7 linked regions of the Oryzias latipes genome follow. The protein of the gene in region 1 purifies or fractionates together with the protein of each later gene. This does not show direct contact. Links are inferred from orthologs where the notes say so. Each region holds a gene or a part of one and is shown on either strand. Other genes may lie near its edges. The genes, in order: otud5, cdk4, ruvbl1, ppp2ca, supt16h, grb2 and cnp.

Region 1 (4,040 bases):
CATGGAAATCTAAAGGCCCGCACACAACAGGACAAATATTTGCCAGGCGTTATTCGCCAGCGTTATTGGCCACGTTTTTTGTGTTCACACCCAGGCGATTTTCGCTGACGATGAGCCGAGTGAACATGCAATTTCATTTCCTGACATTAGATGACGCTTAATGTAAAACAGAAATACTTCTGTACACCAGGTGGCGCTGCGCAACTTTACGCTTGTTAAAGTCGCTTTTCACTCAGAAGAAGAGAGCAAGTATTTATGCGCTTGTCAGAATCATACAAAGAAAACATGAATATTTCAAGCACCAGTTGTTCCAACTGGTGTTTGGTTCGGGGATATTTTAGAATGTCCGTCATTATTTCTTTGCGGCAGTGTAGATGCAACTCGGTGTCTATCTTCTTCGCTGGTATGTGTGCTCAGTAAGGCAGTTTTGTGTTTGAGCGCCCCCAAGTTGTGTTTTACTGTAACTTCAGAGGCTCCAGACACGTGTGCAAAAGCGCCGTTCTCATTGGTCGAATAGATTTCGACGCGACGCGTCAAAAAAAAAAAACGAACCCGAGGCGTTTGGTTTTTTTTGACGCTTTGACGCGTGGCGTTTTTTCGCGTCGGTGTGCACACTCTCTCATTGGTGCCCTTTGTTTAGTCACGAGGCGTTAAACGTCGGCGTTAAACGTCGGCGAAAATCGCGCGCGAAATTCGTCCCGGTGTGTACAGGCCTTAACGGTGCGCGTTCATGTTTGGTGTTACAGAGTGAAGAAGAACAGTAATAAAAGGTTTCCGTTAGAATAACACTGACAGATTTTTTACTAAACTGCTCTGGAGTAGAGCTGTGACGGTGTGGGATTTTTGATCACCGCTGTGATAAAAGAGTCGCTGTGCCTGAACTCTTGCGACACCCCCCCCCCCCCACTCTTGCGACCCCCCCCCCCCACACACACACACACACACACACAAAATCCTCCGGCCGTGTCGCACACTCACCTTGAAGTATGAACACAGGACTAGCAGAAAAAATAAATTTTTAGAAAAGATGAATGTGTTTAATCTGTTTATTATAGTTCCAATCATGCACCATATACAGAACTTTAAAAAAAAACGTGCGTAGATGCAGTTATTGTCACACCCCTAATTCAGCGTTTATTTCTGCCAGAAAAGCCCCCAACCATGACTCTGACTTGTTGAGGTGTTAGCTGTCACTTTGTCCTGATTCCCAGAGACTTTTGTGCTCTCTGCAGTAATCTGGTCTTCTGTCTCTGCATTGCATACATGAGTTGGGTGCATTGTGGGCGGTGGAGGAGATTGAAAAACTTTTTCCAAAAGGTTTAGGTGACTGGTCAAAGATGCAGGGCAACATTTGCAGATGGTTGACTTGGTTTAAACCGTTGGAGTTTAGCCCTGGGTGTTCTCTAAAGCAGTGTTCCCCAACCTTTATGTGGGTGCGGACCGGTCAACCCCTGGGGATTTTACCGCAGCCCGGCGGAACGGGGTGGGGGCTGCCGGGTATGTTTAATTTTGGTCCGATTTTAAAAAGAAAAAAAAAACGTCTGATCATCACAAAAAAATAAATCTTTTAATAATAATAATAACAACAGATAACAGCAGTGGAACATCAATCTCTAGTAACGTCCGTCTTTCCGTCGTTCCATCCATCCTTCCGTCCATCCATCCGTGCATCCATACATCCGTCCATACATCCTATCGTCCGTCCGTCCGTCCATCCATCCGTCCGTCCATCCATCCATCCGTCTCCTTCCATTCATTCGGGAGCGGGTTGCGGGGGCAGCTGCGGGGGCAAAAAAGATGTCCAGACTTCCATCTCCCCAGAGGAGCTGGGGGTCCCCCAGACATTCCCAGTAGTCTTTCCAGCGTGTCCTGGGCCTTCCCCGGGGCCTCCGCCCAGAATCTGGATATTTTTCAAAATTAAAGATTTTTGAAATAAAAGATTGTCGAAACTTAAAAGAAAAAAAAAGAACCAGGCATTATTAATTAATTCTTCTGCGCTGGGTGCCAATTGATCAACAGACCAGTACCTGTCCACAGCCCGGTGGTTGGAGACCACTGCTCTAAAGGACAGATCCTCTAATCCAGGGTTGTCAGAATCCAGGCCTCGGGCCTGCCATGGAAGCTAGTTTTTGGCTAAAGACACCTGATCCAGGGATCCAGCAGAGAAGGCAGGATTTCTGGAAAACCAGCAGGAGGTCGGCCCTTGAGGCCTGGAGTGAGACACCTCTGCTCTAACCCAAACCCTCTCTGTGTCTCAGCTGATCAGGTGTACGGAGATCAGGACATGCATGAGGTGGTGCGCAAACACTGCATGGACTATCTGGTGAGTGGAAACATTGGTCATCTCAAATGTTTTTCTGCTAGTTCACAGTTAATGAAGAGTCTCTGGCTTTCAGATGAAGAATGCCGACTACTTCTCTAACTACGTGACAGAAGACTTCACCACATACATCAACAGGAAGAGGAAAAACAACTGCCACGGCAATCACATTGAAATGCAGGCCATGGCCGAGATGTACAACAGACCAGTGGAGGTGTACCAGTACAGCACAGGTAAGTGGTGCTGTCCGCCTGAAACCAGCCTTCAGCCGTCGGCCTCACGGCTGTCCTCTTCTTCCATCAGAGCCAATCAACACGTTCCACGGCATCCATCAAAACAACGACGAGCCAATCAGAGTCAGCTACCACCGTAACATCCACTACAACTCCGTGGTGAACCCCAACAAGGCAACCATCGGGGTCGGACTGGGGCTGCCCGCCTTCAAGCCGGGGGTACCAGCACCCATCTCCTTTTCACCAGCTCCACCAGCCTAAACATTGTCATGTCTAAGCGCTCAACACAGCCATCTGCATCAGCTGCTTCACATTCGTGTGAACAAAGCTTGAGCCACTCTCATTACCTCCTGTGTTTCCTGACCTCTCCCTCCCAGTATGCAGACCAGTCCCTGATGAAGTCGGCCATCAAGACGTCTGAGGAGTCGTGGATCGAGCAGCAGATGTTGGAGGACAAGAAGAGGGCAACCGACTGGGAGGCGACCAACGAAGCCATCGAGGAGCAGGTGGCCAGGGAGTCATACCTGCAGTGGCTGCAGGACCAGCAGAAGCAGGCCAGACAGGTACAGTGGCAGGACCACACCTCCCTGACAGCACTGTGAGGTTCAGGACCCCCCCAGCTTCAGCGGAGAGCCTAAATTTGGTGCCTGACTGTTGGCATTTGTCGTTTGTGTTGTGCTCTCGCTCATCTTCTGTATAGTCAGTGATTGGACCTCAACCAAAGTCTGATAAGATCCTGGTTCCTGAAGACCAGCAATGAGTTTATCTGGCTCACTGTGGACTAAAACACAAGTGACAGTTTTTATGAAACCAACGTCAGCACCAGCAGCAAACGAATGTGTCAGAACCAAGTGAGGTTCTGTTTGATCTTTGCTCTTGTTTGTTGGTTAGATCTGACTTCACAGTGACCAAATGTCCAGGCAGATTCTGAACACCCACTCACAGCGGACGCGGGTCAAATCTCTTCTCCGTTTCAGCCCCGTAAGGCCAGCGCCACCTGCAGTTCAGCCACGGCAGCGGCTTCCAGCGGGCTGGATGATTGGAGCGCCCGGTCGCCACGGCAACACGACTCTGACCCCTCCCACTCTGACCTCACATCTGCCACGTCAGCCAACAACAAGCCCCCCTCCCCCACTGGAGCTGCTCTTATCCTCAGCAAGCCCCCTTCGCCCTGCGCCCCAGGTAAGGCGCACACAGGATCTCCCAGAACCACCTGTCCTTGTTTTTCACATATAAATGCACATTAAAAAAAAGAAAATCCTCTTCTCACCCTCTGTGGGGGCGCGGGACTTCTTCCAGTGGCAGGAATCTATAGATGAAATGCACACTTAACTATACAGTTAGAAATGTGCTGAGAAAACAAAAACAGTTTTTCTAGACTACTGCCCACCGACTGTAAATGAGACCTGAACCGCACCAGTGTGACGTCACCAACACAAAATGGTTTACTTCAAGCTCCACCCACTCAAAGTCAATTCAGTCATCAG
Region 2 (4,572 bases), on another chromosome or scaffold:
CTGAGTCCACATTTCTATAGAAACCACTCTCACCAATCATGAGCGAGCTTGTTGGAAGTCCACACCACTTAAAAGCAAGCTACACAAAATCTGTCAATCAAATGTTTCAAGACACCGCCTACTTTTATTGAGGAACAAGATTGGCCAGTTTATAACTACAGTAAAAAGAAAATCATTAAAAAAAATTGGAGGATTATCAAGAATATGTTCAAAAAGGTACCAGAGCAAGAATGGTCATTTTGACACACAGAACGACTGCTTATTTCTCTATAGACGTCTATGGGATTTTGACTTCTTGGAGCCAGTGGTTACTTCCTGTTTGGAACGCCAGAAGGGGAGGGGTCACTCAGTCCAGCTCTCCTTTACACTCAATGGTAGCAAAGCCGATTGTTTATTGTGTGAGTTATCAAATAGTTATGGTATGTAAAAAACGCAAGTTATTTAGGTGTTGCCAGCGACACCATTCTGGTGTTAAACGGTCAGGGTTGTGTCGTAACTGAAAATGATTTATTCCAAGAAAAGAAGCCAAAACAGACAGCAAAAACAAATGAAATAATCATCTCCAAAGCGATTGTTCAAAAAAACAACATTAACCAAACCGCTGCTGATGATCAAGACGTGAGCACACAGCAGATCTTACCACAGGAGTGAGGGCCATGTGGCAGCTGTATATCCTCGCTAAGCCAAAGTCTGCTAGTTTGACCTGGCCCTGGCTGGTCACCAGAATGTTCTCGGGTTTCAGGTCTCTGTGCATCACGCGGTTTGAGTGGAGGAAGGAGAGGCCAGACAGCAACTGCTTCATCAAGTCCTGAAGACAGAGAAATATTTCACACAAAAAAAGAAAGAGAATCAGTTCCAAACAGTAGCTGCCATCAGTTTTTATTCTTTTCTTCAGGGACTCACTTTCACGCGCTCTGGTGACAACCCTGGAGCTGGAGCTCTCTCTAGATACGTTTTCAGGTCTTGGTCCACATGCTCAAACACCAGAGTGACTTTGGTTTCCTGGTCGGATCTCTTGGTGGCACACACATCCATAAGCCTGGATGAAAGTAGCAAGCACTGATGAGGTGGAGGGGGGGCAACATTTGAGACAAAACCTGTGATAACTCTCCTACCTGACCACATTGGGGTGGTCAAACTGCTCTAGGCGCTTCAACAGCGCCACCTCTCTGACCGTGGACACCGGGAGGCCATTTTGGTCAGTCTGGACGCGCACGTTCTTCAGGGCGACGAACTTGCCACTCTCGATGTCGCGAGCCTTGTAGACGGTCCCGTATGCGCCACCACCGATCTCTGCCACCGGCTCGTACTGCAGACCGGTGCACTGCGCCATGCTCAGACTGGGAGACGAGACTGGGGTCATCTCACATTTATACAGACACCTCAAACTCCAGAGCAGCACTTTTGAGGGATTTACTGAGGGAAAAAGTCTTTAAAAGAACCACTCCAAAAGAAAACAGCGTTTCTGGTTGTTTGACATGTTTTGGTAGCATTTTCTTCTCATGTTGGAGGACATATATTAGGAAAATTGAAATTAAAACTGCTTTACTACTTCTTCTTTTTTCAAATCATAGTGAATCAGGAGCAGACCAAAAACTGCTGTTAGAAAAAGTTTTTACTTGTATACAAAATACAATCGGCGGGCCTCAAGCTCCCTGTTTCTGTCCATGCAGATACATCCACTCGCAGATGACTAGATCCATCTTCGTTTTCCTCGTCTGAGCTAGTATCTGGCTCAAAGCTATATGGCCGGGTAACTCCAATAATGATCACCATTTATTTGTGCTGCTTGCGGTTGTGAGGGACTGTAAGCTAGCAAGACAGAATGCAGACAAAGGGATGATGGGAAGTCAGGGCAGGCTTGCTCAACACAACTCAGAGGAAAAATTTTGATTACCGTAACTCCATCTGCTCTGCAGAAACTATGTCCTAGAAAATTACACAACATTAAAAGATCACTGGGAACGCTTTTAAAATAGATCAAATGATGATTGGAGTGGCTCTTTAGTGTTTTTAAATCAGGAATCTCTCTCTGCACATAAGGAATGGTTTGACAATGATGCCTGGCTGGATTGATCCCTTCCCCAGAGTGACATGTGACATTTGTGTCACTTTGTGTCAAAACTTTCCTGAGCTTCTCCTGTGCGTTTAGTGTTTCGTTTTCCTGCAGCAAGTTTTTCTGCCTCTGCTGTTTGTTTACAGCATAGAAACCAGAGGACAAAAGAGCCGCAAAAAGATCAATTTATACACATTAAAAGCACATTTTTGAGAGACTTTTGCATAAAGCACCAACACAGTGGAGCATTTTTCTTTAACTTGGTTTATCCTAAATGATGGGAAAATGCTTTTTGGTAATTTTTTTGGAAATGAATATATATACTATTCCAGATTAGAGTACATGGAATTATGTAAAAACTTATTTTTATAAATCAAACAACATACAATAAATAGAAAAGAAATAAAATTCACAAATCTATAAATTTTTAACTAAAACAATCATTTCTGTGTTTTGGGAGAGACACAGTGAGTCCAGAGTATAAACTAGGTGAAACTCCCAACAGCCGTTGTTTGAGGGGATCTTCTTGAACCAGTTTGCGCATGACAGCAGCTCGTGATCACAGAAAAATGTATCGATTATCAGATAGGCAAAGCCGGACGTTCGCCCTCCATGTCTCATTCATTCCCCGCCTTATCAAGCGAGAAGCAGGCCGGTGACTCCAAAGCAGTGGGCGGATGTTCATGTGAAATCAGTAGGCCGGGGCAGACACGTGGTGCTCCTCTGTGGCAGTCCTTTGTTAATTTAGAGCAAGAAAATGCAGCAGAAACAGTCCACATGCACTTTTCTAGCTCACACACGCACACACACGTGTCTGATCATTGGTCTGAACGTGGCGGAAGAAAAAGCGGGGGACTATAGTCAGCGGCGGAGGAGACACATCACCGCCTTTTAACTTTTCACATCTGTTCAACATAAAAGCGTAACGCGGCAAAACCATACTCCTCCGCAGGTTTGTGTATTCGACAGGTCACACATAAAAAAAGCTTACCTCGGCCGTTTTTTTTCTTTAAGGGCAAGAGAGCTCACTTTAGTTCGAGCATGCTCGTTGATCTGCCACGTTTATCTGGAGCAGAACGGGTCAGAGGTGGCAGGTCGAGTCCAGGCTGAAGTTTACGGCCGAACAGCGACTTTGATGTGGAAAAGATTTCGGCCTCCGCCGCTTTCCTTCCAGCCTGCGCTCGTTTTCGGTTATCTTCCTGTTGCTTTAGCTTCTCAGGGGGCGGAGCTTAAGTTTTTACCACAAACCATTTGAAGAAAAAAACAAAAAAAGCTTTTTGTTATCAAAAGCCACAAATTCGTGCGACCTATTTTTTGTTAAGCCGTTTTATTTAAAAAAGGGGGGAAAACGACCCCACTTGCTTCACATAAGAGGGAGAAAACAGTGATTTACTGTTTACACTAAATAAAAAAGAAATGGACAAAAATGTTATAAACTTGGAAAGCCTATATCTTATTATAGAGGTTTTTAATACATATATTTCATTTTAAGGCAATGTAATTAGGTAATTCAATAATCAAATCATGGTTGATTGGGTTTTTTATAAGATACCTAACTTTTCTATTCTTCAACCAGAAATTAAGTCAATAAACTAGAGTATCTTCACTGGAAGTGTTTTATTTTTTTTCACTCCATTGACTTACACAACTGCAAACTATCATTGTGGTTGTTTACACCACAGTTAAAACTGTGGTTTTGTTTAGAGAACTGAATAGATCAATGTTAAAAAAGAATTAGAAAATGAATGTAATTAAATATGTTGAAAGAAAATATTTACATTGTTAAAAAAAAACCTTTTATACAAATAGTTGAAATTAAAAATCTCAATCTCTAAAAAATTATTTAATTCAGTGATTTGGATTTTCAAATTAAGTGAATGTCAACATTTTAATGACGTCCACAATGTGGTTTTCTAATTATTTTGATCCTACGGTATGCTGCCTTCTTTTTCATGAATGTATTGTAAAGATTAGTATGTTAACATTAATGATTTATTTGTAAATAACGGGTTAAATAAAAAGCTAAATGTGTTGTAAAAACATGATTTTTAAAAATATATGCACATCAGTTTAAATATTTTCTTGAGAGTTGATACCAGCATAGTTTTTAGTTGTTCATTAATGTTACCATAAAAGCTTACTTTAAATTTATTCATTGCAAAATGAGACAAAATTGGTCAAAATTTTGTCCTATTTTAAAAACAAACAAACAAATAAAATACACCCTCAAGGTATAAAACATTTAACTCTGTTCAAAATAAATTTAATGCAACATTATGTGGTAAATTCAATACTATAAAATGCCAGTTTTGCATGTTTAAAAGATAAGAGATTAGACCTCAAGCCAGAACTTATTAAAAGTTCACTAACTTACATCGTAAAATATTTAAACTCACAAATAAGAGTTTCCTCAATTTTGATTTTTCAAATTAGTAAAAATGTCATTAAAAAAAATAATGTCATAAAAATAAAAATATACAGAAAGGAGTAGTTATTATATTACCCAGTGTTGTCTG
Region 3 (3,478 bases), on another chromosome or scaffold:
TCCTGTTGTCAGAGACAACCAGATTTCCCGGAGGACAACCCCAAATGAACACGATGGTTGTCCGTGTGACAACCTGGTCTTTTATTCAACATTTTTGGGAAACCGACGTCCGACTTATCAAGATAGAACCGAGTGTACACGAACGATGTCACGTGACGTCTGAACGATCCGAGTACGCCCGAAGAAATCGCAAAATGACAACATTGCAGCTGCATGTCTGGTTTAAAAGATCAGGGATATTAGTCTTTACTGCTAGTGCAGCACACAATGTAAACATGGTATCATTTACATGTGTTTATTTGAAATAGATTTTATATCATATCATAACTGTTCATCACATATAAATATTACTTTATATTTGGAATGCTGTACTAGTCCCAGTCCATACAAGTGTTCTAAATTTGAAAAATACTCATTAAGTTACAGTGTTGGTCAATTTAATCAATTTTCTGATATATTATAGGGTAAGATAAAGTATTTTCATCTGACCGTAACAGTAATTGATTTACATGGGCGGCCGTGGTGCAGCGGTAGGGCGGTCGACCCATGATCGAAAGATTGCAGGTTCGATTCCCGCCTTGCACACCCATGTGTCAAAGTGTCCTTGGGCAAGACAACTGAACCCCACCTTGCCTCTGGTGGGAGGTTGGTGCCAGTGTTCGGCAGCAGCACACTGCCATCAGTGTGTGAATGTGTGTGGGTGAATGGGACTGTGACTGTAAAGCGTTTAAGGCCTTCGAAAGAAGGCAGAAAGCGCTTTATAAGTATACGCCGTTTTACCATTTACATGGCAATACTTTGTGTAACCAGATGCTTCAATAGTTAGTTAAATGTTTGTTTTTAATATTTAAAGATTTTTTTAAATGTCCATCATAAGAGGCAGTTGATATTAGACGTATAGAAGAAATAAAGATGTAAGAACTGACATCTGAGTAGGTTACATTGCTGTTGAATATTGGTATCGAAGGACAACCAAATATTAATATTGGGGCGGACAACCAAATATTACTTGCCAGTTTTTTTCCTTATTTCTAACGCTGCTTTGTATGTTGTTAGTGGTATGAACTCTTAGACATTTAAAAATCCCACTCCAATGAAAATAGTGTTTTTGATGTTTTCAACACGATCTTGCTGCATTCGTCTCATGATGGGAGGACATGTGTGAAGACAATTGAGATAAAAATTGCATTTCTGAGTATTTCTTTATTTGAATCCTTGGGAATCAAAAGCAGATGAAAAATACTGTTTGAAAAAGCTTGTAGCAGTGATGTCGGAGCTACAATGAGTGAGCCACAAGCTTCCTGCTCCGCTCCATTCCGATGCAGACACATAAATCTATGAACGTCTTTGTTTTCTATGGCAGCTGAAAACCGCCTACCCTACTTTTTTCCTTTTTTTTTATAGTTCTCTTTGTCAATAAGAAGTTGATCTCACGAGACAACAGGTTTTTTTGTGATTATAAAACCCCAAGTCCAGAGTGACACGCAGTCATTCCATCGCCGTGTAGACGGCCTGACGCCCTCATCTCAACAATCGTAGGAAAACTGAACTGCAGCCGCCTGCAGGGATATTTGTGCCGCCACATCGCCAACAAAAGTCACAGTTTTCAGGTCAAAACGTCCTAAATTGCAGACAAAATGTTCCGTTTTAAAAGCAAAACTTTCAAATTTGCAAATCAAAATGTGAAATGTTTACTTTTAGAATATCTTTCTTTGCTTTCAAAATTAATTTTTGTGTTTGCAACACAAAGGTTGTCTCTCATCTCGCTTTCTCCCTGGCTTTGACGTTTTGGTCATAGCTTTTAGTTTAGTGTGACATGTGCCACCAAAAACAGCCAATCACAGACAAGAGGGTTCATGCTGATTGGTCCAGATTCCATCCAATCAAGTGTCTTAGCCTGGCATTGTGCTTGGAGGCAGACACGGACTTTTGACTTTGCACAGGTTCTGTTCAACCGGGATTCTGCAGTCTTCAAACATTCTGGCCTGTTTCTAGTTATTTAAAATAAATGTGAATTACATTTACCCATTACTTGCTACAGCTGTTAATGTAATCCAAAAATAGTATGAAAGAGTAAGATAAAAGGGAAAAAAAGGTATTTCTCTCTGTCTAATTGTAAACTGCAAGATCACAGCTGAAGGCAGATTGCTGACACTTTTCTTTGGGGGGGGGGGGTTGTTATGAGAGGGTGGAGGAGTTGGTCTTTGCATTCTGATGTCTGGCACAGAGGAAGCGGGGATTAGGTAAAGGTGGTCTCAGCTTGTTTGCCCCACCTCTGGTACAGGATCCACAGGAAGAAGTGGCTGTCAACTGCAGCTTGTCATCATCTTATCAATAACTGACTGAGTCCCAGAGTGGAGCGCAGCTCTCTGTCCCCACCTGTGTGCTCATTCCCAGGTCCACAGGCTGTGCCAGTGTGGTCATGTTACACACGGGCATGTCATAGACCCGCGCTGGCTCTTTCCCTTTAATAAAATACGTAGTTCGATAGTCTGAAAGATGTGGCAGCTTAGCTGAGACAGGAACATAAAGAGGCCTTTGAGCTGAGGCTGCAGCGTGTGTGCCTGACTGAAATGCCTCCCACACGCAGGACTGCGCATCAAAGAAACCAAGGAGGTGTATGAAGGGGAGGTGACAGAGCTGACCCCCTGCGAGACCGAGAATCCCATGGGAGGCTACGGCAAAACCATCAGCCACGTCATCATCGGCCTGAAGACGGCCAAAGGCACGAAGCAGCTCAAGGTCAGACGGGAAGATTCAGCCTTCACCACTTACTGTTCTTTCTCATTCACGTACAAAGAAAACTGTTATTCACACAAGTTATGGCTGAATGCATGACCTAAAAGAATGTGTGTCTTCTCAGCTGGATCCCAGCATCTATGAGAGTCTGCAGAAGGAGCGTGTGGAAGTGGGAGACGTCATCTACATTGAAGCAAACAGTGGAGCAGTGAAGGTAGGTGATGCTACAGGTTTCAAATCTATCTACTCTTTCTATCCCTACTGAATAGTTTTTCTTTTGTTAGTTCTAAATGAGGATTGCATGTTTATTGTTTTCAAAGTTTGTGTTTCTTTGATGTAAAACTGCTCATAAAAATCATTAAAAAGCTGCAGTTAACTCAGTTGTTCTGAGTGACAGACTTTTAGTTCAGGTTTGTGTTTGGTGAGGCTTAGATTTACAAACACCTGACCTGGGGGTGTCGGGGTTTATCTGAACAATATTTGGATTCATACCTAGGGGTGTGACAATACCCGTATTACCGCTGTGATGACCTCACAGCGGTAAGGTGTGCTCCTGCCTTCTACACACACACAGTGCGCTGACACACACACACACACACATAGTCATCCTACAACACCTATATAGTAAGTTCATGAGTTAGGTAGGTACTGTTACTTGTTTATAAAGAATACTGCGTTGCAATTGTACTCATTTGCGACGCAGCCGTCAGTGGTTTGTCATTTTATTTTAACTGTATTT
Region 4 (4,528 bases), on another chromosome or scaffold:
TAATGTGAGCTTCAGCTTCCCAGCTGAAGGCAAAGAAGTAAGTCTCGGATCAATCTGAATTAAAAAAAAACATGAAGTAAAACTATATATTATAAATATATAAAACTCCATTAAAACTATATAATATATGATATTTGCAGGAGTTCTTTCAAAATAAAAACCTGAACTCAAGACTTATAAAAACAAAAATGAATAAACATTAAAAAAAGAAAAGAACCAAACAAAACATAGAATATCAATTCTGATATAGCCCCTCTAATAGTCATATTGTAGTAAAAAAATGTAAAGAAAAGGTCTATGTTAGTCAGTTAAGCAGGTTTTTGACAAGTCATTTATTATTTTACTATACAAGAGTAATAAAATCGTTAAAAAAACAAAACAACCTCAAACCATAACTCGTTTGGACTTTATTTTAATTTTTTAAATAGGGTTTTCATGTTTTAAGCTAGAACCGGATTACATCATTTTTAGAACAGGTACGTTTGCGTTCTGTTTGCTTCTGCCTTGCTCATGAACCCGTGACATCATGGCCAAACTACAAAGTTCATGTTTTTTGTGGAGGATGATGTATTCTCTGTAATGCAGGTTGAGAAATCATTCTTTAAAAAAAACAGCCAATGAGGCAGCAGAGGAAGCGCTGTCGTCATCCGTCCGGGTCTCTGTTTGGATCGAACTCCATTTTCTGCTGAGTCAAATGTGAGACAAGCAACCAAACAAGAACGGAAGTGCGTTTTTCAAAGTAAAAGCACAATAACCACAATTTTTTTTTTTTTTTTTTTTTTTTTTTTTTTTTTTTTTTAGCGGGCTGCACGGTGGCGCAGTGGTTAGCGCTCTTGCCTCACAGCAAGAAGGCCCCCGGTTCAAGTCCTGGCTGGGGGACTTGGAACTTGAACATCAATGGGGGCCTTTCTGTGTGGAGTTTGCATGTTCTCCCTGTGTATGCGTGGGTTCTCTCCAGGATCTCCGGCTTCCTCCCACCGTCCAAACACATGCTACATAGGTTGATTGGCAACTCTAAATTGTCCATAGGTGTGAGTGTGAGAGTAAATGGATGTTTGATTGAGGATATTCCACCCTGCGACAGACTGGCGACCAGTTCAGGGTTTCCCTTGCCTACGCCCAAGTGGCCGGGATAGGCTCCAGCAACCCCGTGACCCCGAAAGGGAATAAACGGTTAAGAAGATGAATGAATGAATGAATGAATGAATGAATGAATGAATGAATGAATGAATGAATGAATGAATGAATGAATGAATGAACGAATGAATGTTTTTTTTAGCTGCCAAACATCACTGCAGATGATCAGACCCTCATTTTTTGTGTCAGCTATAACAATTTAATCCAGCAAAAACACAAATAAAAACCTAAAATGTAGCTGGCTCAACATACACAACATCCACCTTTTTCACAAGTTAACATTAGGGATGAATAGCGGAACAATTTCATATAAGGGTTGCACTCAGGTACAATTTAGTACTTATTGTTTAATATTTATTGTGGTACTTGCACATTTTCTACAGAATGACCATTTTCCAACTTGAAAAACTTGTGCAATGGACTCAGATGCTGTATGTCAGATTTGAAAAAATTAAAAGAATTAAAACAAAAGAAATGATTAAGAATGTGTCTGTTCTCCGTCTATGGATGTTCTTTACTAAAATTACTTAGATATTTCACACAATGTAAAATTTGTTTTAAGCAACTGTGTGGATTTTGAAGAAAAAAAAATGTCGATATTTAAAAAGAATAGTAGTATATCTACTGCTAATTTGGAAATAAATTGTTATCAGGGCTGATTTTCCCCAAAGATGCTTAATTGATTTAGTTTATTTACAGTTTCAGCTTAATTACTGCAATGATTTTACACTATTAAATTATTAGTTTTATGTAACTATTTTTATTCAAATTGCTATTTTGTTTAGTTATGCAAAAACCTTTTCCCAAAAGAAAATAAAGTTAACAAAGGCAAATCGTTCATTAAGAAAATTAAGTTACATTTGCAAAAACCAACAGGAAAGTAATAAACAAGAAGGTACTTCAGATGAAATTTAGTAATACATTTGATAAATCGATATTACATTTACTTTGTTCAGAGCAAATTAATTTAATAAGCATTTTAAAAATGAAATGAAACAAGAAACAGTGTTTGTTTTAATTTGACCGTGATTTTTCTAAATAAATATCTTGAAAAAAAATTTGATAGAGGAAAAAGAATAGGTGTTGAGGAAACAAAAACAGATGAACCACTAATTAGTTGAAATATTATATACAGGGTAAGTCTGGTGCGTGGTGCTTTTATCTTGAAGATCTTCGCCGGAAATGCAGCGTATGACCACTGACGTCTTCACATGAACCATTTTTCAGGGTGGATCGCCAAACAGAGCTGTCTCCCGCCCCTCTTCTGTCAATTCATAGTGATCTGGCAGCTGGAGGTCCATGCCTCTGTCGGTCGGAGTGAAACCATCTCCTGCGGTCAACGTTTTGTAAGCTTCAGGGAAGTCGGAGTCTCATTGGTGAACCGCCGCGGCGCCTGTCGGTGAAGAAAAAACAGCAGAAATGGAAGAAAAGGCGTTCACGAAAGAACTCGATCAGTGGATCGAGCAGCTCAACGAATGCAAACAGCTAACCGAAGGACAGGTGAAAACGTTGTGTGAAAAGGTAAGACGAGTTTATTTTAAACCCCAAATTCTGTTAACGTCTGGTCTCGCGCCTCCTCCTCCTCCTTGTGGCTTTTTTCAGAGATTCTTAAGATGGCGTCTATAGTAGAAGGAGTGTAGATTTCACCGCGCGATATTAGACCCTCACTGCCAAACCCCACTCTGTGATGGTTTTGAGCGGTCTGCTCATTCGCGGGGGGAGGAAATAACGCTCGGAGGGCAGCTCGTGGGATTTACCGGGGTGCAGACCCGTTGGAAGCGGCGCTCCCCTCCCTGCTCTCCTCGCGGGCGCCACGGTGACTGCAGCATCTCCCTAAGGCAGCTGTTGCAGCAAAAAGCCCCAGTCTGCTTTACTTACCCCCCACCCCCCATCCCGGGGGCTAAAATAAGCCCCCCGATTTTGGGACTGCTCTGAAAGTAACCCCACTCTGTAGCAGTAAAACCATCATTTTAATCAGGCATCTTTCTGGTCAACTCAGGCTGTTTGGACGTAAATGGTTTAGTCAGCTTCTTTTAGTTGTTAACCTTTATCTTCACTGAATATAAAGTTTAGAGCACATTTATATTGTATCCCGTTTTAAGCTCTTATTCATTTAGGGTTCTTTAGCTTCCAGTCTGGCTTTTGGGTGCAGAAATAAACATTGAAAGCGCTTCACTGCAGTGGATGCAGTTTAAAGGTCCGCTTCCGCCCATCTGTTGATCTTTTGTAAAATCGTTCCCAGGGTTCTTTTTACTAATAATTATGGCATTAGGTGAGGCGTACATAGTTTGTGCAGTGTGGCATTAGAAAATTGCCTCAGTTGTGACTGTTGGCACAGAGCAACCCCGCCCCCACTTCCTATCAAACAACTGTTTACATGCTCTCCTGCTTGCTAACAGCCACTCACACCCCTAACTTAACATTACAAGTGCAACAAAAATGGTTGAGCAGTATTTGAGCAACCCAGCTGTACAGTTTTGGGGTGAATGCCAGCCCAGACGAGGAAAACAAAGACGTTCGTGGATCTAGTTGTCTACAAGTGGATGCATCAGAACGGAGCAGAGCAGGGAGGTTGTGTGCCGATGATCATTTCCTCATTCACAATCATTTGACAAAAGAAAAACCCAGAAATGCAATTCTGAGCAACATTTTCTTTATATATGTCCTCCATCATCACAGAACAAGAACATGTTAAAGCACCAAAGAACAGGATCTTCATCATAGTGGGTCTTTAATTAACATAATGAATGAAGAGTATTTTCAGAGTTCTAATGGTTTTCTCCATTTAAGTAGTGATAATGGTTAGGAGGCAACCAGTTAATTATTGTTCATCTTTAGAAAGGATGCATGCATGCTTTCCTTTTGTCCCTGGGTTGTTTGATGGGTCATACATCCTGCAAAGTGGAGTGCTAGTGCTAGCAAACCATTTCCAGGCTGAGAAGCTGCTGACTTTGCTAATAAAGTAGCAGCCTATCCACCCCTAACCCTGATGTTGACATTTGCTGGATGTGAAGTCTACATATGCTTGTGCTTTATTTATTAGCTGGTCAACAGATTCTGCACACTATAGCAGTCTGAGCTGCGGCTTAACCCCGATCTCTGTGCCGATCTTTAGCTCTGAATGTCTCTAGGTTTAGAGGAAAAATTCGTCCTGAGAGTAGAGTGAAAGTGCTATTTCTTTGAACCCAATGAGATTTCTTTTAAACTTATCTTTTCTCAAATATTCTACTGGTTGAAGTCAAAGCCAGATGGAGTTTTTTCTTTCAGCTCAGGTCTGTTGAACGTTAGCATCTGGAGCTTCATGGCATCTGGGCTTGACTGAAAGCAGCTTGTTCCAGTTTGGTTTGATGTTTTCCAGCTGTAAACCTTTTTCTGTTTGAGCTTTTCCCCA
Region 5 (4,167 bases), on another chromosome or scaffold:
TTTTGTCAAAGAAATGTGAGCGCCCCTGACGAATTCACTTCTTTTTTTTCCCCCATCTTAATTGCAGTTTGGAACTTTTTGGTTCTTCTGTCCACAGAACATACCGAGCATCTAACCTCAAAGCTCCTGGCGACACCTCCGTGCCCTCCACCAACCTGCAGAACGCCTTCCGCATCATCAAGGAGGTGCAGAAGCGCTACAAAACACGGGAGGCTGAGGAGAAGGAGAAGGAAGGCATCGTCAAGCAGGACTCGCTGGTCATCAACCTGAACCGCAGCAACCCCAAACTCAAAGACCTCTACATCAGACCCAACATCGCTCAGAAGAGGATGCAGGGCTCTCTGGAGGCCCACACCAACGGTTGGTTGTCTTCACCAATGAGCCTGAAGGGAAACTCTTCCGAAACCACCCTCAGAGGAGGAATCCTAACAAACAGCCATCTTTATTTTTCTGCTCAGGGTTCAGGTTCACATCCGTACGCGGAGACAAGGTGGACATCCTTTACAACAACATCAAACATGCCATCTTCCAGCCGTGCGACGGCGAGATGATCATAGTGCTGCACTTCCACCTGAAGGTACGGCTGACAAAGGCGTCCAAGTTTTCCCTTTAGCTAAGAAGAAAAAGGCAGTGCAGTTTAAATTAGGTTAATATGATAAAGTATTAGGGCCGCCATAAAAATAAATACCTTTTACAATAATATAGTTATTATTTATGAGGGGATAAAAGTCAGAATTTAGCAAGAATAAAGTTGAGAATTCACAAGATTAAAATCTTGTGAATCATCACACATGGTAGGTAGCACAGGTTTTTTTGGTTTTGAAAACGACATAATCTTAATTAAAATACAACTGAGAACACTTTGAAAATGGATCAAAAGATGATTGATTAGAAAGTTCAGATGTTTCCATCATGTGACCTCTGAAGCGTCTCTGATTTGTTGTCCTTCAGCTCATTTGCTCAACCTGACCATTCTGCCTTACAGAACGCCATCATGTTTGGGAAACGGCGACACACAGACGTGCAGTTCTACACGGAGGTGGGCGAGATCACCACGGACCTGGGCAAACACCAGCACATGCACGACCGCGACGACCTGTACGCCGAGCAGATGGAGCGCGAGATGAGGCACAAGCTGAAATCTGCCTTCAAGAACTTCATCGAGAAGGTGGAGACGCTGACAAAGGAGGAGCTGGAGTTCGAAGTCCCCTTCAGAGACCTGGGGTGAGTTCAGAAGAGGTCATGGAGGGGGGGGTTGTAAAGGAGGAACTCTGAATGGATTCGCTGACTATTAAATGCTTTCAGGTTCCAGGGTGCCCCCTACAGGAGCACCTGCTTGTTGCAGCCCACCTCCAGCTCTCTGGTTAACGTCACTGAATGGGTGCGTAAAGCTTTTCACGAGAGGCGTTTTTATTCTGAAATGTACCAGGAAGTATCTGTAAAATGACACCCCCCCCCCCCCCCAATGTTTTCTCAGCCTCCGTTCGTGGTGACTCTGGATGAAGTGGAGCTCGTCCACTTTGAGCGTGTGCAGTTCCACTTGAAGAACTTTGACGTTGTCATCGTCTACAAGGACTACAACAAAAAGGTCACCATGATCAACGCCGTGCCTGTCAACTCACTGGATCCAATCAAGGAGTGGCTCAAGTAAGGCCAATGGATAAAAACCAATCGGGTGATGAGAGGCAGAGCTTTGACGTTGTTTCTTCTGATTTCAGCTCGTGTGACATCAAATACACTGAAGGAGTTCAGTCTCTGAACTGGACCAAGATCATGAAGACCATCGTTGACGATCCCGAGGGCTTCTTTGCGCAGGGCGGCTGGTCGTTCCTGGACCCTGACAGTGAGGTGAGCGTTCTTTTGGGAAAACCATCGTCCTTTTCCAGTGTCGACCTGTTAACCATCGTGTTGTTTCTCAGGGAAGTGATGCGCAGGAAGACTCGGAGTCTGAAATTGAGGATGAAACGTTCAACCCATCAGCTGATGAAGAAGAGGAAGAGGAGGAGGACAGTGATGAGGACTACAGCTCAGAAACGGAAGACTCTGGTAGGACGTCTGAACGCCCCTGCCTGCGCTGAGCCTGTGGGCGGAGTCTGATTGATTGTGTGCTTTCAGATTACAGTGCGTCGCTGGGCAGCGAGGAGGAGAGCGGCAAAGACTGGGACGAGCTGGAGGAGGAAGCTCGCAAAGGTTTGTGTGTGCAGGCAAATGGGCTCTGGTTTTGGAACCAAATAAGTCCATGTTTGCTTTCCAATTTGCAAATGTTTGGAGAAGTTTGAAGCTGCAGCCGAGGAGGAGGATGACGATGACTTGTGCTGCATTTAAACCAAACGCCATTCATGCGGCGAATATTCATCCTCCAGCTGTTTTTGATGAATTCACTGCTGGACACTTGCCCACAAAATGTGTTCATAAAATAAAGCTTGAAATTTATAGCGCTGTTTATAATAAGATTAAAATAAATTTTCGATCCCTGACGAAACATCCGATTCTAAAAACTAGGTGATTGGCCCGGTTTCCAATTACATTATTGGATTGGGACATCCCTACTATTGTCTTGATCCAGAGAAGAATATTATCAAAAAGTTCAGAAGGGGAACGATCAGCTTCTCTATGTTGGTTCTGGATTCCTCCCACTGATTACATCATCACAGATCACACATCACAAAGCTGAGTTCCTGATTGGTGTACACGACACCAAACCTTTGCTGAAGTTCAGATATTTATAATGGACCTTTCGCTCTTCTGCCCAAAATCAGCTGCTCCCAGACCGTCACGCCGCGCCTGACCCTCAAATTGCATGACAGGACCTGTGACCATGTCTGTATATTAGCGGACGCCCCTGCCGCGCAATGGCGTTTGATGTGAACCCATCTTTATTAAAGCCGTTCTCTCTCTGCTGCCCTCTAGCTGACAGAGAGAGTCAATACGAGGACGAAGACCCGTCCAACAAGAAGAGGAAGGGTCGGACAGCACCAGCCCCCCCACCCACCAAGAAGAAGCGGCGAAACTAAACATCTCACTCACACACACACACACACACACGCACATCCATGCGTACTGCCAAACCCCAGGATTCCTCCGTGTCCCCAAACCCCCCCCCCCATATGTCAAATGTGTACATAGATGCAGAAACCTGTGGGCGTGGCTTGCCGGTGCATCATGGTTGTAAAAAGAGAACCGGCAGCAGGACAGTTGGTCTTCATCGCTCTTCTTTGTTTCATCACCAGGCGTCTTGGTTGTGTGTGTTTGTTAAATTTGGTTTTACTGTTTATGTTCAGTTGAAAAATCTTTTTCTTAATGAGTGATAATAAAAGATGGAATATTCTCTGCCAATTGTTTTATATGGAAACATCCTGATTCCTCGTCTTCATCTTTTTGTTAAAGTTGAAGCTGAAGTTGAGCACTTGCCTTTTTTAAATGGGGGGGGGGGGGGGGGTGTGCAGATGCACGTTTCCTGTTCTTTTTTATGGGATTTGTAAACTCCTGCATTCAGACTCACACCACCTGTCACACTTTCATGTTTTCTCTCATGGGGGGGTAGGTATGATGTACTTTTGACTCTGAAAATCCTGTTTTTGTAATAAAATCTAAAAGAACTGGCATCTTTTCTCTGGACTGTTTTTCTCTTTCAGGTTCAGTTTGAAGGGATTGCAGATTTTTTTTCTTTTTTCCAACCGTTCGCTGTAAATGGTTATGATAACCGGGTTAGGGTTTTGTTTTAAAGTCAAAACATTGAATAATTACAAATGTCAAAGTTTTTTTTTTCCATCTGTGAGCCGAAGAATCATCGCGCTGTGGCCAGAAACCCATCTACCATTTTCAGAACCCACCTTTCAAGCTCAGAGCTTCAGCAGCCAAGCCAGCACACGCTGAACGGGTCATCACCAAATGCAAGCCCACACTCATTCATACCCAGGGGCAATTTTGGGACACCAATTGACCTATGAAGCACGTTGGCGGTCTGGTGGAGGGAACCCACAGGTGCACGAGGAGAACCCAGCCGGGATTCAAACCAGCGCCGCCAACCACCATAGGAGAAGCCAAACATTCACTACACAGGAGGAAGGTTCAAAATGGGGTGGGGGGGGGGGGGTAAGACTTGAAGACCCAAATCAGAAGTTTGAAGGATATCAATCTGGAAGATGGATCTGAACTAGATTATAG
Region 6 (3,481 bases), on another chromosome or scaffold:
TCTTGTCTTTTCTGCTCTGTTGACGCATGTAGATGTGTGTCAAGCTACAGACACACCAAGCATGTTATGTGTGTTCAGGAACATGCCAAATGCAGGTTCTTAATTGCCCGTGGTGTTCCCACTGGACAAGCAGGGAGGGGATTCTTCTTTTTCTTTTTTGCTATCACATGTTCAGGTGTAAAATGTCGGAGCACTGCAAACCTCACAAATCTTGCTCCAGGCTTTTTTCTTTCACAGCTCTAGTCCAAAAGAATTCTGGCGGGGCACATACCGCAGTCATTCATCTTTCCTTCACGATCAATTTTCAAATGGTTGGCACATCCATGAATTAAAAGGGCCGCTAGCCACCGTTCATCGCTACCAAATCAGAGTCCCTGATTGGTCAATAATCAACCAGGTTTAACTTTCAACACGCATTCAGTGGCAGCGCGTTTTCTACATGGAGCCTGAAAAATGGTCGTAAAAGCTTTCATAGCTACGCGTAAATGTGTGAGTTTTGATTGCGGAAGGCCCAAACCCATATTTAGGAGCGTTTCCATAGACTTTTCATCTGAAGTGGATGCTTGAACCTGTGTCGCTTAAGGCGGTGTGAACGTAGCATCAGAGGTGTCTTCCATACGGTTTCTTCTGCACGTTTGCATCAACTTAGTGATCCCAAACCAAAATGGTTATTGATTTAAAGTCCCATGTGTAAACTAAGTTCTTGTTGTGTTTGCCGTCCTCCAGGTGGTTCTTCGGGAAGATTCCTCGCGCCAAAGCGGAGGAGATGCTGAACAAGCAGAGGCTCGATGGGGCCTTCCTCATCAGAGAGAGCGAGAGCGCACCGGGGGACTTCTCCCTGTCTGTCAAGTGAGCGGCCGCACTCTGACGCCACAATCCAGGAAAAAATTACTCGCATTAGTTTTTCCATTCATATTTTTCCCCTTCAACCTGGGCGTGACGTGCTTCCTCATTTCTGAACAAATTTATGTTCTCGGAGTTTGAGTCACTTGTGGTTTTTCCCTTATTTCCAGTTTTTAAAAATGTTTTTAGAAAACAAATTTCTGATAAAACTACAATTTTTCTGCTTTTGTTTTTTCATTTAGTAATAAAAATGTTTTTAGGAGCATTTTTTTTCTTTGCTTCCCTCCACTCTCTTTCATTTAGCTGCTTCTCCACCACACTGTTCAGAGTCTGAGTTTCTGTTCTCTGCAGGTTTGGAAATGACGTGCAGCACTTCAAGGTTCTCCGCGATGGAGCTGGAAAGTATTTCCTATGGGTGGTGAAGTTTAACTCTCTCAATGAGTTGGTCGATTACCACCGCACCACCTCAGTCTCCCGCAATCAGCAAATCTTTCTGCGAGACATAGAGCAGGTTCCCCAGGTAAGACATCCCACTAAACTGTTCTTTAAAAATGGGGCTTAAGGATTGGTTTCTGTGTTGATGGAGCACACTGACTGTCCATGTGCACCTTCTGTGCAAATACATGAAGACACAAATGTCCCAGCATATGGGTTTGCAGCCCGACCACATGTGAGCTCAGCGGAAGACCTGCCGTGGAGCGGATCTTTGGCGTGGAACCGTGGGTGTAAAAAAACCACTCTGAGGTCACCACATGCCGAGGTCACATGACTGCACCTAATGCTTCTGATTCGCATCAGAGCTTTCTTTCTTTTAGCTGATCCATTTTTATGATGCATCGTAAAATCTAAATGTCACAGGTTTTCTTTTTAAAGACTTTATGGACGTAAACTAGAGCAGAACCTTTTTTTTGTTGTTGTTGTGGTCGTTTTAACTTTGAAAAGTATTTCTTATTGCAGCTACGCTGTGCCATCGGCCACATTTCAGTGTCACAAACGGTTAAACTGACATTTGGAGTACAGGATTACACAGAAGCGCTTTAAAGATGAATGTGAGATCATTTCATTCCTGCATGTTCATATTAGTCACAAAGGTGTTTCATGGTTTTGTGGAGAGCAGCACTGAAAATACTAATAACAATCAAATCCTAAACGCATTCAAGACTATGTACCATCCAGACTTCATCGTGGTATGATCCAATACATGGAAAGCTGTTAAAAATGCGTACTTTTATTTATATAAAAACTTACATTTTGACAAATTACTGTATCTTTTTGGACTATGAGTCGCTCCAGACTTGACAGTCACAGGAGCAAGAAAGAAGAAAAAGATCACAAATGCGTCACACTTCACGCCAAGCCTGGTGTTGGACTGAGCGCCACTTCTTCTGTCACGCTGTCAGTAGGAAATGCTGATGCGCACATCTACAGCGCCCTCTCGTGGTTGTTGCTATTGATTTTTTTTTTTTATACATATCAGTCGCACCTCAGGACAAGTTGCAAACTCAGCCAAACATATATTTATGTGGTATGTGGAGTTTAATTCTGCAGAAACAAAAGAATATAGTAGTAAAAACCTCTCCTGCTCTGCTGCACTCTGTTCTTTTTAGTCACAGTTGTTAAAAATAGACATTCATGTGAATGTTCTGTGATGGATTCAAATCAATTCAGATGTTGTAAAAGCAGCTCTTCAATGCTTGTGCGCCTTCTTTCTTTTGCTAAAAGCTTTTTCTCGTGATTGGATTGAGATGGCTGCACTAAACAACACGTTTGGTCCAGTTCTGAGTGAATGCATCGACATTAATGCCGCCGTTTAACGGGAAACATTCAGGCGTGGAGCTGTGGAGGCTCCGGCGTCCGACCACGGCCTCTCAGTCCAATGCATTGGAGATCAACTGTAAATGCAACGGAGAAGACTGCGATGCTGTGACGAAGAATCAGACAAGACGTCTAAAGCAGCGGTCCCCCAAACCCAGGACCGGTATCAGGGTTAGGGTAGCAGACAGAACAAAAATACATACTCCAACTCCGATTATTTCTGTTTTGTCTATTTTCTGATACTAAAGGAAGTTTTATTTTGGAAAACTACCGAATTTTGTTCACCACATCCGTCTGTCTGGACGCGTCACATGACTTTAGGCAGCTGTTCAACGCTTAAAAGCTAATAAAACCAACAAATAAATGTATTTGGAAAGTTTCTTTGGGGAGAAAAGAGTCTGCAGGGAAACCAAAGAAGACTCTTCCAATTCATCGAAAAATTGAGACCTTATTTACAGACAAAACCAGAAGTCTTCCTCCAAATACAGATTCACAGTCGTTCCCGCGTACCAGAAGCCGCTCTGCATAAATCTGATAAAGATGCAGACACGGTGGATTCACGTTTATTACGTTTAGAAAATACTTATTTTTACGTTAAAGGACATTTACGAATTTTCCTACAGCATGGATGAATTACGCTGGCATGTGTTAAGAAACTCGGCACAGAAAATGTTCCTCTGTGTTACAAAAAAAACACGATCAATCAGGATTTATGTAGAAATGAAATATGAAAAATCTTTTGGTCCTGAAAGATGATCAGAGCCTGGGTTGAATTCTCTGTGTTAATGACGTTTTTATTCAATCATTCTACAAATCAGCAACT
Region 7 (4,613 bases), on another chromosome or scaffold:
CCTTTTTGGGTGGCTCTTGCTCCTTGTATGCATAAAAGCTGGAAAAACAGGCGGGAACGGCAATGGGCTCTCTGAGTGTGAGCATCCACCTTCCTTCACCATAATAGATCAACGAGCCCAGCTCCATCTCAAGCGGCTCCCCCTGCTGGCCCTCTTTCTGCAGCGCAAGGATTTGGAGCAGATCTACCCCCGTCTGAACGGGCTCTGTGCCCTCTGCGCAGCCCAGAGTGATGTGGGCGCGACTTCCCTGGGGCAGGGAGGCGGCTGCGGCGACGGCCGACTCCACCTCCTTCTCAGCATCAGCTGGCCACAGGAGAAGCTGCTCCTCGGTGAGGCTCACTCTGGCCCCCGCGGTGCGAGGGGTGACAAAGAGAGCAGTCAGCGACAGCTCAAACACCGACCCATAGGCACTTCTAACCGCCTGGAGAAAGGATTGAAAAGATTAATACAACAAAACCAACAACAACAAAACCTGAAAGGGCACAGAGCAACAAAATAAAATAAAATCAGTTCTTACTGGATTTTGTGCATACTCTTTGGAACCCTCTACTTTTCCATAGTTGCAGAACTTTGTGGTGCAGTGCAAAGTCCCATTGGCTTTGTAGTACTGCTCCAGATCCACCTCCTTCTCAGCTTTTCCTGTGACTTTAAATAAAAGATGAGATGCAAGTGAGTTCAAATGAAGGCATGACTTAATAGAGGAACCTTAGAGGAACTCACAGTCAATCAGGTGTTTCTTGAAGGCTTCCAGCGTGTCCAGAGTTTTCAGGAAGTCCATGGATGTGCACCGGATCTTCTCCTGCACCGCTGGCAGGAGAAACCAGCCAAAGTAAAGAGGAAGGGACAATTCCTCGTGCTGGACTTTCATTGCCTCCAGTTTGGCCTCGTCCAGTTGGCGCTTCGTCTTCTTTGCCAACTGTGCGACATCTAGTCTCCACTCAGTTTGTGGCTCCAGGAAGATCAAAACCAGGTTGTGCTCCTCAGCCATCTCCCACAAGCGGGCCACGCGGTCGTGGATGTGGTTGGTGTCATCCACCACTATTAGCACAGATGAGGCTCCGCCTTCCTTGCAGCAGGTGACCACAGCTTCATCCAGAGCTTTGTACCCCTCTGTGGACTGCTCTGGATTTTCTGGCTTTATGCCGTGGGCGTCGGCAGAGATCACAGAGCAGAGGTCTTTATAGGAATCTGCTATGGCACGGGCCAGAAAGCTCTTGCCGCTTCCTGGAAGGCCTCTGAGGACCACAAGGGTACGAGAGACTTTCAAGGCATCTTTGGTCTGCTCCTGATTCAAAAGGGCAAAAGACAGTGAGCCAGAAGCTGGAGCCACATCTTCCTTCTGAGCCTCTTTTGGTTCTGATTGAACACCTTCAGCTTGTGCTGGCTCAGCTGCCATTACAGAAGCAGACTGAGCATGGATTTCCTTTCCAGACTGAGCCGAGTCACCTTTTCCACCCTCAGCTGATCCCTCCTCTGACGCAGCAGCTTGTGCTGGCTTTTCTGAGGAAAGCTCTTCCCCCACTGCTGGTTCCTCCTTGGTCTCCTGTTTGGTGGATGGTTCTGCAGCTGGCTGCTGTTCCACAGCTTTTGAAAGCACCGCTTGCTCTTGCACTTCAGTTACCGGAGCTGGTTCTGCTGATTTCTCTGGCTCCGGTTCAGGAGCACCTTCTGCCAGATGAGTTTGTAAAGTCGGGAGCTCTGGATTGTTCTCTGGCACAGACGGTTGTTCGGCAGCAGCAACTGGGTCAGAAGCCTTTTCGGTCGAGTTATCTGGTTCAGATGGGGCCACCAACTCCACACCTTCTGACTTTTTGGCGTCTTCATCAACCAGAATTTCCGTATTTTCCTGGTTTTCTTCTGCAATCTGTCCTGCCACTTCTTCTTCAGCTTGATCATTTACTGGCGACTGCTCGGGAGCTTCGACAGCAGCTGCTGGTTTCTCAGGCTCCACTTTTTCCTCTCGATTTTCCATAACCGCCACCTCCTCTTGATTCGGAGCCTCCGGCATGTCTAAAACCTCACTCTTCTCAGTATCCATGCTTGTATTTGAAGCTTAGCGTCGCTCACCACCGTGTACCTTAAACACAGCCACAAAACCCAGCATTTACTGACAGTAAACTGCACAAACTAAAAAAAAAGAAAAGATCATATTTAAATCTCCATTTCCAGAATTTGTGCTCATCATTTTTTAAGCTAAAAAAGATTTAAAACAGGAAGTTGTGCAAGAAAAGGAGTTAAAAATGGGCCAAAACCACTTGCACAATGTGGTTTTTGACCCTTGAACTGAGCGCGTGAGGCTACAGAATTGATTTTTCTAGGTCTATGCAAACAAAAGGGGCGTGGTAAAAAAAGAAGCATTTTTTTAAGCATTTAATTTAGCAGCTTTATAGAAGCATTCGTAGGAGTTTGGACACCAAACCTCGCCTCCAGACAAAGGCTAATTAAGGAAATGCACGAGTGTTTATTGAATATAGTGACTTGCGAAAGCTTCCTTCGACAAATTAGAAAGATTAGAAGTTGCATATTAAAAAAGAGCCAAATGAAACTGTTTCTTAGAGAAAGAGGAAGAGCTAAAAAGGCGAATCCGTCAGGCGTAAAAGAAGACAGATAACGAAACTGAAGCACTATTTTCCAGGTTCCACAAATTAGTACAACCTAAACAAATTGAAATCAAATTTAACTTAAAAATATTAGTTAATAATAAAATAATATTTTAAACATTTGTTTTAAAGCGAATATTTTGGCTAATTTATGTTGGTTTGGTGCGGTGGGGAGTGGCGTGCACATTTAGCACGCGAGACAAAAACGATTTCTCCCCGCCAGGCGGACGCTCAGTCCTCTCTGCAACATCACAAAAAAAACACGCGAATAGTCTGGTTAACTTTAGTTAGCGTGGGAGAAATTAGTTAAACTGTTACCGTAACGAGCTAGCATCAACTGGACGTGCGCACGTGCTGTAGTAGCCTAGCATGTGAAAGGTTTTCTGAAACGCCGCTTACCAGTTGAGTAGCAGTGAAGCTGGAGGTGCTGCTGTGCTGACCACGTTATTGTCCCTCTGAATACAATGACAACGCGGCGCTGGCCGCAGACACGTTACTCTGACGAGGGAGGGGGGATTCAAATAAGAAAAAAAAAGGAAAACTCCCGGGAACGCGCAAGTGGGCAGGGCCAGGCACGCCCCTGCCAACCGGAAGTGGGCGGCACAGGAATATAAAATATTGTAAATAGTCATTTCTAATAAAAATACTAATAAATTAATAAAACATTTCATCTAATTTTTGAGACAAACTTGTTGTGGCTTTTGTTCAGGTCAAAGAAATTAACAGAAATGTGTATTTCCTTAGAATTTTACACGTTTACAGAAAGTTTATGTTTTTTAATGCATTTCATTGTCTGTTAATCCTGGGTTTTTTTAAATCAAAAAATTTCTTCAAATTGGTAAAGGAGTTATGGGTGTTCTTCATACAAATGTTCACAATGACACGAGAAAACACAGAAAAAGATTTCATCTCCTTCTGTTGAAACATCAGATTTTACTGCAGGGGTGTCCAAATATGTGAGGGCCAGCCAGTCAGCCTGCATTGTTAAACCCATTTGATAAAAAAAAAAAAAGAAAAAATACAAATGAACCATTTGATGAAACCATTTTGAAAGGGAATACTTTGTATAACACAAATATTTTCAAATACATCGTTTATCTAATTTACAATAAATTTCATATTTGAAGACCAGAACTGAAGTAATGAAAAAGTCTGTCTAAAAAAAAAAATCCACCATAAATGTGGTTCATATGAAATGCTACATATTAATATAAACTTATACATTGAAGTCGTGGAAACAGGAAAACGACACAAATCTGTATCTTCTTCAGAAGTAAAACCTCTGTGGTTTTGGTCACAGAAACCAATACATTTGTTTTTTTGGATCTGGCCATTAAGGCTCTGAAGGACAAGTAGCCACAGGCTGTTGTCACAGGTAAACTAGTGTAAAATGTAATTTAGCAAATCCATTTCAAGCAGCTTGTAGCTGGTACAATTTTGAACATGAGCTGCATTTAGCCCATGGGCCAGACTTTGGACATGCCTGTTTCAGGCTAACCCAATCATCTAAGATCTATACAAGAAAAACTGTTATTTGGGTGCAATAAAGATCTGTGATGTATTATTTATCGATTGCATGTCAACACTTAACCGGAGCCAAAAAGAATAAGAATTCAAAGCATTGGCGACCTACTACTGTATCTTTGATTGTGGATGCATTATTTCAATAATGATTTAAATAGGTAAAGCAGCCAAATGTTGCCTCACTTGAAATCCATTAGAGCCAACTGACTGTTAAATTCTTTTGAAAAATAGAGACTAAAAATCGTTCTCTAAAGAAAGGCCCTATATGCATAAATACATTTAATCACTAATGATTTTAGAACTCTATTTATAGAACGATAATTTACTTATCCAATTTTGGTGAAGCAGCTTCCCAACAGCTCATGCAAATGTTTAGATGTTACTTCTTCTATCAACCAGAATAATAACTGCAGCATCAGCAAGTCAAGAATTTTTTGAGGGTGTGGAAAAATGCTCAAATCAAAAATAGTGGTAGTTTCTGCTATTTTT

What was found.
Region 2: the proteins of otud5 (region 1) and cdk4 purify together in Homo sapiens (affinity purification with mass spectrometry, with the first as the bait; 4 studies listed by BioGRID). This does not show direct contact. The link is inferred for Oryzias latipes from reciprocal best matches to the Homo sapiens genes OTUD5 and CDK4.
Region 3: the proteins of otud5 (region 1) and ruvbl1 purify together in Homo sapiens (affinity purification with mass spectrometry, with the first as the bait; 3 studies listed by BioGRID). This does not show direct contact. The link is inferred for Oryzias latipes from reciprocal best matches to the Homo sapiens genes OTUD5 and RUVBL1.
Region 4: the proteins of otud5 (region 1) and ppp2ca purify together in Homo sapiens (affinity purification with mass spectrometry, with the first as the bait; 3 studies listed by BioGRID). This does not show direct contact. The link is inferred for Oryzias latipes from reciprocal best matches to the Homo sapiens genes OTUD5 and PPP2CA.
Region 5: the proteins of otud5 (region 1) and supt16h purify together in Homo sapiens (affinity purification with mass spectrometry; 3 studies listed by BioGRID, with this or other methods). This does not show direct contact. The link is inferred for Oryzias latipes from reciprocal best matches to the Homo sapiens genes OTUD5 and SUPT16H.
Region 6: the proteins of otud5 (region 1) and grb2 purify together in Homo sapiens (affinity purification with mass spectrometry; 3 studies listed by BioGRID and IntAct, with this or other methods). This does not show direct contact. The link is inferred for Oryzias latipes from reciprocal best matches to the Homo sapiens genes OTUD5 and GRB2.
Region 7: the proteins of otud5 (region 1) and cnp purify together in Homo sapiens (affinity purification with mass spectrometry; 3 studies listed by BioGRID, with this or other methods). This does not show direct contact. The link is inferred for Oryzias latipes from reciprocal best matches to the Homo sapiens genes OTUD5 and CNP.

The regions. Positions count from the first base shown.
Region 1 is NC_019865.2:31,811,283-31,815,322, forward strand, and holds part of otud5 (OTU domain-containing protein 5), read left to right. Parts: intron 1-2,258; coding exon 2,259-2,323; intron 2,324-2,396; coding exon 2,397-2,553; intron 2,554-2,623; coding exon 2,624-2,772; intron 2,773-2,930; coding exon 2,931-3,116; intron 3,117-3,530; coding exon 3,531-3,735; intron 3,736-4,040. UniProt on the Homo sapiens protein: Deubiquitinating enzyme that functions as a negative regulator of the innate immune system. Has peptidase activity towards 'Lys-48'- and 'Lys-63'-linked polyubiquitin chains. Can also cleave 'Lys-11'-linked ubiquitin chains (in vitro).
Region 2 is NC_019863.2:27,222,173-27,226,744, reverse strand, and holds the start of cdk4 (cyclin-dependent kinase 4), read right to left. Parts: upstream 3,273-4,572; 5' UTR 3,048-3,272; intron 1,341-3,047; 5' UTR 1,334-1,340; coding exon 1,116-1,333; intron 1,040-1,115; coding exon 904-1,039; intron 809-903; coding exon 641-808; intron 1-640.
Region 3 is NC_019863.2:3,779,361-3,782,838, forward strand, and holds part of ruvbl1 (ruvB-like 1), read left to right. Parts: intron 1-2,590; coding exon 2,591-2,742; intron 2,743-2,863; coding exon 2,864-2,953; intron 2,954-3,478. UniProt on the Homo sapiens protein: Possesses single-stranded DNA-stimulated ATPase and ATP-dependent DNA helicase (3' to 5') activity; hexamerization is thought to be critical for ATP hydrolysis and adjacent subunits in the ring-like structure contribute to the ATPase activity.
Region 4 is NC_019872.2:4,039,679-4,044,206, forward strand, and holds the start of ppp2ca (serine/threonine-protein phosphatase 2A catalytic subunit alpha isoform), read left to right. Parts: upstream 1-1,524; 5' UTR 1,525-2,556; coding exon 2,557-2,658; intron 2,659-4,528. UniProt on the Homo sapiens protein: Catalytic subunit of protein phosphatase 2A (PP2A), a serine/threonine phosphatase involved in the regulation of a wide variety of enzymes, signal transduction pathways, and cellular events.
Region 5 is NC_019876.2:21,315,722-21,319,888, reverse strand, and holds the end of supt16h (FACT complex subunit SPT16), read left to right. Parts: coding exon 1-15; intron 16-97; coding exon 98-360; intron 361-458; coding exon 459-577; intron 578-985; coding exon 986-1,224; intron 1,225-1,305; coding exon 1,306-1,381; intron 1,382-1,477; coding exon 1,478-1,647; intron 1,648-1,718; coding exon 1,719-1,848; intron 1,849-1,919; coding exon 1,920-2,046; intron 2,047-2,115; coding exon 2,116-2,190; intron 2,191-2,910; coding exon 2,911-3,014; 3' UTR 3,015-3,603; downstream 3,604-4,167. UniProt on the Homo sapiens protein: Component of the FACT complex, a general chromatin factor that acts to reorganize nucleosomes. The FACT complex is involved in multiple processes that require DNA as a template such as mRNA elongation, DNA replication and DNA repair.
Region 6 is NC_019866.2:20,735,222-20,738,702, reverse strand, and holds part of grb2 (growth factor receptor-bound protein 2), read left to right. Parts: intron 1-726; coding exon 727-849; intron 850-1,194; coding exon 1,195-1,363; intron 1,364-3,481. UniProt on the Homo sapiens protein: Non-enzymatic adapter protein that plays a pivotal role in precisely regulated signaling cascades from cell surface receptors to cellular responses, including signaling transduction and gene expression.
Region 7 is NC_019866.2:5,979,723-5,984,335, forward strand, and holds the start of cnp (2',3'-cyclic-nucleotide 3'-phosphodiesterase), read right to left. Parts: upstream 3,139-4,613; 5' UTR 3,000-3,138; intron 2,078-2,999; exon of another isoform or gene 2,072-2,077; 5' UTR 2,039-2,071; coding exon 721-2,038; intron 646-720; coding exon 518-645; intron 422-517; coding exon 1-421. UniProt on the Homo sapiens protein: Catalyzes the formation of 2'-nucleotide products from 2',3'-cyclic substrates. May participate in RNA metabolism in the myelinating cell, CNP is the third most abundant protein in central nervous system myelin.